Nothobranchius furzeri: one gene and its partner. The protein of the gene in region 1 interacts with the protein of each later gene in a pairwise test. Links are inferred from orthologs where the notes say so. Each region holds a gene or a part of one and is shown in the gene's direction. Other genes may lie near its edges.

Region 1 (6,296 bases):
ACGGCTCCCACGAGACTTCAAGCTGTACCTGAGCACACTTACTAGTCTCTGGTCAGCTGACCTAAGGGAACGCACCGGGACATGCCGGTGGATGATGTCTGACAGGTATTTAGGTGCCCCCCCAGTTTAACGCCTTAAACACAAACAGGATTACCTTAAACCTGATGCGATGGGAGACAGGGAGCCAATGCAAGGCACGTAGGACTGGTGTAATATGTTCAGACCTCCTGGTACATGTTAACAACCGAGCTGCAGAGTTCTAAACTGCCTGGAGGCGTGCTATTGGAGCTTGCCCAAGCCCCGCATATAGCGAGTTGCAATAATCCAGCCTGCAGGTAACAAAGGCATGGATTACAGTTTCCAAATGGCTACGTGACAGAAATGGCTTAATCTTCATTATCTGCCAGAGATGAAAATAGCGAGATCTCACGATTCCATTTACTTGAGAATCAAATCTGAGCTCTGCGTCCATGTTTCCCATCATTCATTATTAGACATGTTATTAAAACACTTTGGATTTAAACATATTGTCCATTCAACAAAATATGATTATGAAAACTTGTAAACTTATGTAGTCATTGGAGCCAGGGAAGATAAACTTCATTCAACTCTTGTCGTGATTGGCGCTATATAAATAAACTTGAATTGAATTCAAAGAGGATAGATAAGAAGTCCTGCATCCTCTGCAGCCATGAGGACTCGTGACGTACATAGACTTCATGTCGGCACCACGGTGTCAGATAGACCTGTATGAAGAAGTTTGGTCTGTAAGTTAAAAGTTCATTTCTGGTCATTTAGATGAAATATTTGGCCATTTGGTACGCTGCAAAGAGCAAACATGAAAACGGCTCACTTTACCTAAACATCAGATACCTTTTAAAAATCTTCTATACCTGTGTTTCTGACCTGACCCTAATCCCCACGTTGTGTTCCAGGTTCTGCCTCCAGTACCAAAGAGGGGAATGCCTCCAGCCTTCAGCCTGAGTGGATCTCTGCCTGAAACGACACCACATCCTAGTGAAACCCAGTTTGAGTCCAACAAAGCTCAGAGACTCAGAACCAACCCAACTCAAAAGATCAATGGGGATTTGTTTAGACCTTTAGAATTGGAATGTCCCGATCTGACCCAGGTGGAGACCAGGAGCCAGTCTCTGCCTTACCTGGGCACCAAAGTGGAGGAGGAGGAGGCATACTCCAACCAGTTAAGCAGCCTCTCCCTTCAAGCACCTTCTTCTCCAAAAAGGGTCACCTGTCAAACCTACTCCCTCCACGCCCCCGAAGGAGATCTGAGAAGTTTCATGTCAGAGCAGCAGATCAGAAACCAGGACCAGCTGAGGTCTAACCCTCTGTACGAGCCCTCCAGGGTACCTGGAGAAAGTGCAGCTCAGCGGCGGGGTGTCATGTACGCTGAGGTTTCTAAGGGTTCAGCACCAACTACGCAGACAGAAGACACCTATGAGCTGGTCCCTGGAGAGGCCACTGAAGTCCAAAGCAACACCTACGAGTCTCTGGAGGACATGAAGACTAAGAAACCCAAAAGCACCTGGGGCAAAAATGTAAGATGCAACGTCATGTGCTGGTTTTTATTACAGAGAGTAAATAAATAATCTGACGTTTTTTTTTAAATAATTTTGTCTCTACAGAACATAAAATGGAGGAACTTCTTAAAGAAATAAATATATCTTGTGGAGTTTCTCAAGTTCGGGGCTTCCTCCTGACGTCAGGAGACTTCATTCAGAATCTCTAAGAGATGAAAATAAAAACAGGCCTCCTGGAGTGAGATTCATACCTGCATGATCAATTATGGGGTGAAAAGAGGGGGATACTGACCACCACAAATTACAGCAGGCCCAGAAAATCCTCCCTGTTATCTTATAGCAGGGGTGGTCCCGATAGCCAGCATGATTTAGTTGTTTCCCTGCTTCAACACACCTGGTTGTAATCAGCAGGTGATTAACAGGCTTTTACGGAGCCTGAGGAGCTTCTGAACAGGTGATTCAACCACTGAATTATGTAGAGTATAGAGGAACAACGAAAACATGGATACCGCCCTTTGGAGACCAGGATTGAGAACCAATGTCTTAGAAGATTAAACTCTTGTGGATCAAATGACATTATCCTACATGTTCACATGTATAGGCTATGCTGGGCTACTATAGTGAGCTTAATATCTGTATTGTTTATTTTGGGACTGAAGGACATGGGACACTAGCCCCAGAAGCCCTTCAACCCCTCCATCCTAGAAGTGTTGAGATTTAGTTATGCAAAATGGTAAATGGCCTGTGGCGCCTTCTAGGATTCTAAAACCCCCCAAGGCACTTTACAACGAACCAGCCATTCACCCATGCACACACACATTCACATGCTGGTGATGGTGAGCTACAATGTAGCCACAGCTGCCCTGCTACAGCGAGATGTGCAGGTCACTTTAACTAACTGAAGAGATAAACACTCAGGTTAGCATCATTTTTATACTTTATTCATAGCCTAATTATACTGTTATTAATGAATGTATTGATGCCTAAAAATAAATAACTTTTAAGTTTGAAATCACTTTATTTATTTGACACTTGGTGAGCATACAGTATTCTACATTTAATGAAAAAATAATGTATTTATGAGTTTTAAGGCCTCCAAATTAATGTCTTCCTCAATATGCGCGTTCCCGTAACAATGCATGCAAATGTCTCGGCTGGCATTTTCGGTACACACACCTCCAGGTTGCGCTCCGTCCTGTGGCCGCTGGGGGGCAGAGTATCCGCTGCATTCCGCTGTCAGGATTCCAGCGAAGAAGAAACTATCTCCCATCTAATTCCCGTCGGACAGTAAAATCTCGTCTTTTCTGTTTTAACAAAATCATTTTTGGACCCGCTCTCCAGTGTTGGGACGATGGGCACCAGAGATGATGAATACGACTATTTATTCAAAGGTAAAGCGGTGTTTGTTGTTATTTGGCAGGCTAGGCGGTGGAGCTAACGGAACCGCCGTCAGCCTTTTGTGTTCGGGTCTCAACAAACTTCTCTGACGTGAGTCAGCGCGTTGAATCGGTTTTCCGAACTCCCGACGAACCATGTCTGACTCGTTCGGGTAGGAAATTGTTCATCCGGTGCTTGTTGTTCGTGCTAAAGCGCATCTTGGTTCGGGATAGCGGTTAGCTCGGGTTAGCCTGCCGACAGCCAGCGGGACACACCTAGACCTAACATGATCAGATCCTCCTGATGCGATCCGGACCGATCTGCCAGCAGCACCGTTAACGGGCCCGAGACGACGTTTAACAGCAAATTCAGAGCCCGAGGCAGAACCGGGCTGGTCCAGCTGAGGTGAAACTGGACGAAAAACTCTTAACTGCTTTATTGATCAGGTTATTAATATCAGATTATTGATCAGGTTGTTCATCTGTGGGTTATTTATATTCCACTCTCACGTGAGCTTCCGGTTTCGTATTCTCACATTTCTTCCACTAACCTCCTGTTTTCCCGAGAGTTTTAACTTCATTTATCAGTTTATAAAAACACCAAATCCTGAAAGGAGCAGAATCACCAAAGAGAACATAAAATAATCAAGTATCATTAAAATAACTCCTGAATAAGAAGTAAAACGGTTGTATTTGTCTTTTTCAACCCCCCCCCCAAGCGATTTATTTTAGTGCATCTTAGTTAAAATTGAAATATTCTGCTTAAAACTGTCAATGTTGTCAGGTAAAAACTCTGCACTGCATTCAAATTTAAATCTGCCATCGCTATTGGCTGAGAAGTACACTATGATGTCAGCTGGTACATTATGAGATCACAATGTTGTTGGCCTTGTTCGAGTTGAGCAGCGCCTCGCTTGGAAAACAGATGAAAGCAGACGGATGCAGCAGGGGGAGTGGCTGAAAGCCGGCGTTTAATGCCTGATTCATGCTCCTCCATCTGCGTCAGTGCTGAGACACGCAACGTCAGAGAGCTCCGCGAGGACGGACGGAGTCGAGCTCTCTTTTCTAAACATCCGTCAGTCGAGACGGAGAACGCAAGCTTGTGATTGGTCAGGACGCCGCTGTTGTCTACAGCGCCGCCATTGCGCCCTCAAAAACATAAAGAGAGCCGAGGATAACTAGTGGCAGACACGGAGCAGCTTGAAGAATACCTCGCGAAAAAACTCTAAAATATGAATGTTTAATTCCCCAGTGACAGGAGGAGTGAAAAGATGCGCAGCAAGCGTTTTATTAGTGGATGGAAATGACAGGAAACGTGGGTTTAGAGGTGGCGAGCGCATGAAGAGGTGGAGGAGAATGAGAGACAAATTTGTCTGTTAAAAAGTCTCTTATATACAAAAAAACATAATATAAACACACCATCTTGGACCGGATGCATGACAGGATACCACAGAACAGCCTACGTCCTCTGTTGTCCTGCTGGGGAATTGCTTTGCAACACTCTCCAGGAGACGGAGAAGTATGAGAGCAAAACGCTTCCGTCAATCCGTGCGTGTCTGTCCTTTGCGGAGCTGACGGAGAAGCATGAACCAGGCTTAAGATGATCAAATTTCCCTACATGTAGCTCGCAGGTGATGATGGATAAAGATATCACATTCATTCATACTTGTTTAATTTGTAATTAAAGTTCTGGTGCTTGTTAGCAACTGAAACACATCCTGACAATATCATGTAATGTTGACATGTGCATATGAAGTAATAATAAGTAAAGGTTAGCAGCTGTAGAGTTTTAGTGTGCTCATAGGAAATGTGACAATAAAAACACAAATCACATTTCTCTTTATGGCCTATATAGTTGTCATCTTAGATCAGGTGAGAGCGAGGCGTTTCCTGTCACGCCCTAGGTTTTGCAACCGGCGGAGAGCAACTGCAGCGCCTTGCTCCAAAATCTGCGGCCGCCTTGATCTCACGAGGTTATCGTTGCCTACGTAGGCATGACATCAGAGCAAGTCGGCGTCAAGTCAGACACAAATCTAACCAGCATGCACTGCGCGCCGATCACCGGTGATCGAATCTGCGCAGAACTGGATCATCTTGAACACGGCCAATGTGAGCCTGTGTGTGTGTGTGTTAGCGGCTCTGCCCTTTCGGTCTGCCAGGCAGCAGCATTTTTTAAACAGGAAATGGGAGTGGAGTGAGACTCTGGTAGGGGTGACTTGCTCTTTAACATGGCACCTGTCAGTGGACGGGGCCAAGGGGGTGGGACTCCTAACATCCTGATAAAACGATCCCGCTCCTATGTATTTTAGACCAGATTTTTATGGTTATATGTTACAAAGCAACAACTGGGAATTATTTCATTCATTTTCAACAACATTTTGATGGATATTTCCTGAAATTTATGGTAAAAACTTCAAATTGTCTCTTTAAAAAATATTGAGTAAAAAACGCCCAGAGACAAATAAAAAAATATAAATAAATTACGGGTGCACCAATTGCAGTTTTTGGCTGATCACTGTTCACCAATCTTGAAAAAAATAAAAACAGACTTGCTGATACTGATTTTTGTCTCAACTAAAAGCAGATTATGTCAATGTTTCAATTTCCTTTTATTGTGAAAACCAACATGAATACTCATGAAACAATACCATTTTCAACTGGACATGAGGTAATGCTCTCAAGTAGGGATGCAATGATACCACTTTTTTCCAAAACGATACGATGTCGATACTTGGATCTGAGTACTCCCCGATCCCGATTACCAATACCGATACTTCTACCAAACAAAAAAAATGCGATGATTTGGAATACAGATTTGATTTTCAACAGGAAAAGTTTGTGAAGTAGATAAAAAGTAAAATATATGAATGGAAATCATCACAAAACTAAAATATTAGGTGAACAGAAATGACAAGTTACAGGGAAGCCATTTTCAAGCAACTGCATTGGTATCAGTTCCTGGTATCGGCTAACTTTTACCAATACTGGTATCGGTATTGGTACCAGTATCGTATCGGTGCATCCCTACTTTCAAGCATAAATGAACGTCTTTAGCATTGCTGTTTGAACAACAAAATCATATTTGTTCCTTTAGACTTTCATTTTTCAAAATTTGAAAACAAAACTTTTGTACCCGTTTTCACACGCATGTTCAAAAATTATTCTATAGCAATGATTGGCTTGAAAAGAACCCGAGATTGGGGCCGATAGATTGGTGCACCCCTAAAATAAATGGCTATAATAGAAACTTTTGTACCAGAGCCAGAAAGGTCTAGAACCGCTCCCGGGTTCTGGATGCTTGATGTTGTTCTAAAGGTTCTTTAAGGATAGTGGGTCAGGGAGCACCAATAATCCTGCATCATAAATAAAATAGACATCCATT
Region 2 (5,554 bases), on another chromosome or scaffold:
TCCTAGAAATAATAATGCAGAGAGAATGGACGGTTTCCCCGTGAGGTGTTGAGCCAAAGTGCGCTTTTATTAGTTTTTATGTAACTTTTTGCGGCCGCCGCTGCTGCTCTTTGTGTTGTTTACGTCAGCGTCCGCATTCCTCCGCTGTGATTTAAAACAGCTGGGATTAGTTTCACTGAAACCTGCTGACGTTTGCTCGCTTTGTGCGACTTTTATTCATTAAAAAATAACTTGGAGTCAAATTAAAGTGGAGAGGAGACGCTGAGGCACGGGGGAGCTTCATCTGCTGTCCGGGGCTCTGTCAGGGTAAGAAATAATAACATGTAAGGAAGGTTAAAGGCTTGGTCTGCGGAAAATACTGAGGACAACTAAGAACAGGAACTCACACAGTCTTACATGATTATTCTCTTTGGAAATTGATGTTGTCGAACCAAACAGTGGTTTGCGGTCTCTGCCAGGGCCTGCATTAGTTTGTAACTCATTAGTTAACACTGGTTTATTAGTGTATGCTAATGAACAAAAGCCTTTCAGATCACACTGTAGAGCAGAGTAAACAGAATAAATATGATGCATGGATGAGTCTTAACCGGGTCCTGGTGTTGTCTCACTGGAGACTCAATGGGACCTTTATGAGACTATTATGTCTTCTGTCACAAGCTGCAAGTCATGAGACTCCTAGTTAGACTCGTGTAAACATCTAGTGTTTTTCTTAAATGACAACAGATTAGGAATATAATTTCTGTGCCATAATCAACACTTTATAGATTAATTCACACCTTACTAAACTTACTTAATTCAGTAAAAGGCAGCTTCTGTAGACAGGCTAAATGTAGATCTACAATGCTGTGCATATTTGAGTGCTCCTTTTCTGTGGCCATCTCCAAGTTTAGGTCCTCCACCACCTCTCTTACTCATGGTGTCCCACAAGGTTCTGTGCTGGGGCCTCTGCTCTTCCTCCTCTATCTGCTCCCTCTTCAGCACATCCTGAGCTCCTTCAAAATAATCTCCTACCATCTTTATGCAGATGACATATCCAACTGTACACCTCCTTTAAGCCCCATGAGATGTCTAAGCTCCAGCTGTTACACACCTGCTTAGACTCTATTAAAACTTGGATGGCTGGGAGCTTTCTTCAGCTGAATGAAGATAAGACTGAGAAACTCATCTGTGCCCCAGACAAGCTGGTTCCCAAAGTCAGACTCTCTCTTGGTCAGCTTGCTTCTCACACCAAACCTTCCGTCAGGAATCTTAACATTTTTTCAAATCACAGTTGTCTATTTTTTGCTCATTTTAAATATATTTTAACCATTTTCTAAATTCTTTTTTATATTTTTACATTTTTTGTTTTTGTGAAGCGCCTCGTGATTTTATCTTGAGAGGCTATAGAAATGATATTCTCTTCTTCTTTTCTTGGTCTTATCATTTTTTAAGTTTGATTATGTTTAAATGTATTTTATTTATTTTTTCAAACCATTTTATTTCCTGAAAATGTTCAGTTATAGAAAATCATAACAAGTGAAAGATATATATATATATATATATATATATATATATATATATATATATATATATATATATATATATATATACATACATACATACATTCATACATACAAGGATTTAGAAAATATTTTGTGCTCTTGTAAAGGTTGGTAGATCTGGAGCCAGAGCCAGAGTCCAGAGTGGAGGGAGGACGCCAGGTTGGGCCCGCCTCAGACAGACCTCATGGCGATCTGTGCCGGCTCCGCAGTTCCTCGTTGGAGATTAAAGAAAAAGAAATAAGAGAAAAGGGGTCAGAGATCCTGAGGGAACAGCTGGATGCGGCGAAGAAGGTATCAGTAACCTACTTCATTGTTGTACGCACAGAGAGACCGTCACGCTGTGAAAGTGGAGAAAAGCTGACTGTGCAGAAGTTCTTCCTTTTATAAAACGTGTTTGTCGTTTCCTCCTTCGCATCATAGGAACTGAAACTCAAAGATAAGGAGTGTGAACGTCTGTCTCAAGTCAGGAATCAGCTGGAGCAGGAGCTGGAGGAGCTGACTGCCAGCCTGTTTGAGGTCAGCGGTAATCACACAGCTGAGTTGATTCCTCTGGGTCCTTCAGAGGAGGACGTAGAAGCTCTGTTCACAAAGGCTCTGGGATTTAGCCGGGCCTTTGGGGATGTAGTTACATAACCATGATCGTAAAGATGGATTCTAGGTGTTACGTTTATTAGATCTTTAATGTTTGTTTTATATTTTTTTTACCAGGAAGCTCATAAAATGGTGCGTGAAGCTAATGTGAAACAAGCAGGAGCAGAGAAACAGCTGAAGGAAGCTCAAGGGAAGGTGTGTTTTCCATTAATTTTCTTTATTCCAGTCAAATCGGTTTCCCAGTTTCCCTCTGCGTCTAACTGTAGCCCTCCTTTGTTTGGTTGCTAGATTGACGTTCTGCAAGCCGAGGTGACCGCACTCAAAATTCTGGTGTTGACGTCCACGCCTTCCTCACCTAACCGCCAGCTGCACCCACAGCTGCAGTCTTCAGGCACCCGGGGAGCGCATAAATGTGGCGGGGGCCACGTCCGCAACAAGAGCATCAGCAGAGCCTTTCAGAGCTCATCTGGAAAACCAGAACCTTCCTCTGTTTCTATTCAGTCTGCGGGTAAAGAGGAGCGGGAGGTAACGTGGATCCAAACACTTCTTCTGACTTCTTCCTTTTCCCGCTTTGCGCTGAGCTGATTTCTCTTTGTGTCCCCGCTAACTTCTCTCTGACTTCCTGTTTCTGATGACTCTCAGCCCACTGGTCCCGCTCTGCTCTCTCTGATTTTCTGCCTGTTACCATGCCAGTCTGTCACTATGAAGTTTGACCCTCTTTGGCGTGAGCTCAAGTAAACAGGTAGTTACTCCTCTTTCAGCCATGTCTCATAAATATTTTACATGTAATAACAGTTCATCAGCCTGTGTTAACCAAACTCACTGGTAACATTCAGCTCTGAAACATGCTGTGGCTGTATGATGAGCACACTTTAATTTTTTTGTTTGATCATTTGGTAGTCCCAGTAACATCTGGTTCTTCAGCAAAACAACTCTTATTTTGAAAAGAACAGTGTTTAATTTTGAATAGTGGATGAGAACATCCACTGTAGAGTCTGTGTGTCTCAGTTATCAGCAGCAGCATATTTCAGTCACAGCTCTGGCTACAAAACTGGCCACTAAAACAAAAAATAACAAACCAGTAAAGAGCAGAGTTGTGTGATCGTATGACTACAACAAAAACAGAGACAGCAGTTGAGAATAAAAAAAAACAAGGCTACAGAATACTGATCTATCAGTTGAAAGTCCCAATTTGACATCAAAGTGTCTAATCCCAGAGAACATAGAGAAGCTGAAGCCCTAAACCTACCAAACATCAGATTAACACCATGAAGGTGGTTAAAAAAAAGAGTGGATGATGTTTTTCTGGAGCATTTTTGGTCACATAGCTTGAAATGCTCCTTACTGATGGCAAACAATCAATTTTGTTTAGTAAAAAATGAAAATATTTAAAGGTGTGGTTGACTGCAAACATTTTTTCTGATTATAATCAGTCACTCTGAGTTTGTCATGCAGGCTGAACATGAAAATAGTCTCCTCCACCTGTCTCCTGCAGTCGCTGTTGTTGTTTTAATATCCGTGAATCAGCAGCGGACTTCTCAGCTAGTTTAAACTAACTGTTAGCATTAGCAGCTTCACCACACAGCAGAAGCTCATCCAGGCTTGAGTTATTTGTAGAGATAAAGGGTTAAGGGGTGGATCAACCATGTGAGTGTCTATGATTTCAAAGTTGAGAATAAATCAAGAAAGCTAAAAACTGCCTTGATTTTCACCATAAAACACCAGACTAGCATACTAAATAGTTCAACGGTTGGGAAGGTGCGTTACGTTTGGAATCATGGCAGAAAAGGTGCTAACCATGGGTCAAAAAGGACAGATACGTTTATGTTTGACGGTATTTGTTGTGTCCGGTGTTTGACCATCTTCTGTGGCCATCAGATTCTGTGACTCTGGGGGGAGCCAGAAGAAAGTGTTTGACCCTAAAATTGCTTCTTTTTTCCTCCTAAATGTAGCTATTTTGAATGGCTTTTTCCATCAACGTCCACTGCACCTGCAGCACTGAGACTGATGTCAGAATCCATTAAGTCCACCAGTAACATTCCAGACTGAGCTATCCTACAAATATGCTGTAATATGAGTAAAGCAAAGTAACCTGACGTGGGTCTGAGTAGATCGGTGTGATTGTTTTTTAGGGTGGATAGATGAAGCATGACTTTTAGCTCCGAGTGGGAAACAAAGCATAACTAATTCTGGTGCTGCTATTTTAACAAGGTCCACCCTGTTCTGAGGCACATCAGCGTTATTTGATAAACTTTAAGTTCTGCTTCACACATCTTTGTTCTAGAGCAGAACATTTAGGAGAAATGACACCTCTAGATACAGATTACTGTATTCAAGGGCAAACTGTCCAAGCCTGAAGTCTCAGATTGGAAAACTTCGAACTGATTTGTTAAAAGGACTTTTCTTCTCAGACTTTCCTTATCTACAGTGTGCCTGAAGGTTGTTACTGATCCCTCTTGTAGGATAAAATCTCTCCACGTTGTTAAAATGCTGCAGTAACTTAAAGGGACATTATGGAAGTTTGACAGTCAAAACATGTATAGAAATAATGAATTTCTTCTTCATACATTCTCCTGCAATGCCCTGGTCCTGTAGAATGAGCCCTGGCATTTTTGCTGTGATTGCCTGTTTTTCTGTAAAATCACAGAAAAAGAGAGATGCTCGGGTCGAGCAGGCTGCTTCATGCACGTTCACGCTCAGTCATAGCCCGTAGCATTTGCTATCCGTAGCTTTAATAGCAGAGAGAGAGGTAGTGCCAACTCAGCGACTTTGTCGCTGTTCCTAACGCCTAGTGATGAACCTAGCTACATTTCTGAGGACCCTTAGCTACTTTCTGTAGAACTAACTTCTAGATATTTCCCGCAAATTAACAACAAAATAGCCATTTTCGCTCCGAACCGTTCTGTGGATTGACTTTGTTTCAACTTTCATTAAGGATATAAATGTTACAGATACACAGTATGTTACTGGTGCTTTAGCTCACTTAGTAAGATGTCTGACTCATGTAGGAGACCTGGGTTTGATTCCGGGTGTGAATAAAATTTGTAATTTGGAGTTTCGTTTTTACATTAATAATTTTTTTACAGTAATAAGACGCCCAAATTTTTATTTGAGACTCGCTAAACGGCATTGAATTCACGGATAAAAAGATGTGGGTTCAACTTTCATTTTGGAACAATTTTTCAAGCAAGGGAAGGGAATGATCTGAGCATGCAGGAGGACTGACCCATCATAAACCTTTGTCGGCTGTGCTGAAGAGAAAGGTACAGAACCAAATTATTTAATTAGCTGCGTGTTCTCCTATCCTCTGTCCTCCGGGACACACACACACACACACACGCACACGCGCACGCACACACACACACACACACACACACACACACACACACACACACACACACACACACACACACACACACACA

Evidence for each region.
Region 2: the proteins of rab11a (region 1) and rab3il1 interact in a two-hybrid assay, tested with the Homo sapiens proteins (2 studies listed by BioGRID and IntAct). The two-hybrid records come from large-scale screens. The link is inferred for Nothobranchius furzeri from reciprocal best matches to the Homo sapiens genes RAB11A and RAB3IL1.

What each region holds. Positions count from the first base shown.
Region 1 is NC_091749.1:66,767,255-66,773,550, reverse strand, and holds the start of rab11a (ras-related protein Rab-11A), read left to right. Parts: upstream 1-2,764; 5' UTR 2,765-2,889; coding exon 2,890-2,929; intron 2,930-6,296. Other genes in the region: SH2 domain-containing protein 7, read left to right, coding at 936-1,607. UniProt on the Homo sapiens protein: The small GTPases Rab are key regulators of intracellular membrane trafficking, from the formation of transport vesicles to their fusion with membranes.
Region 2 is NC_091744.1:65,009,300-65,014,853, reverse strand, and holds part of rab3il1 (guanine nucleotide exchange factor for Rab-3A), read left to right. Parts: intron 1-1,648; coding exon 1,649-1,832; intron 1,833-1,961; coding exon 1,962-2,057; intron 2,058-2,249; coding exon 2,250-2,327; intron 2,328-2,420; coding exon 2,421-2,657; intron 2,658-5,554. UniProt on the Homo sapiens protein: Guanine nucleotide exchange factor (GEF) which may activate RAB3A, a GTPase that regulates synaptic vesicle exocytosis. Promotes the exchange of GDP to GTP, converting inactive GDP-bound Rab proteins into their active GTP-bound form.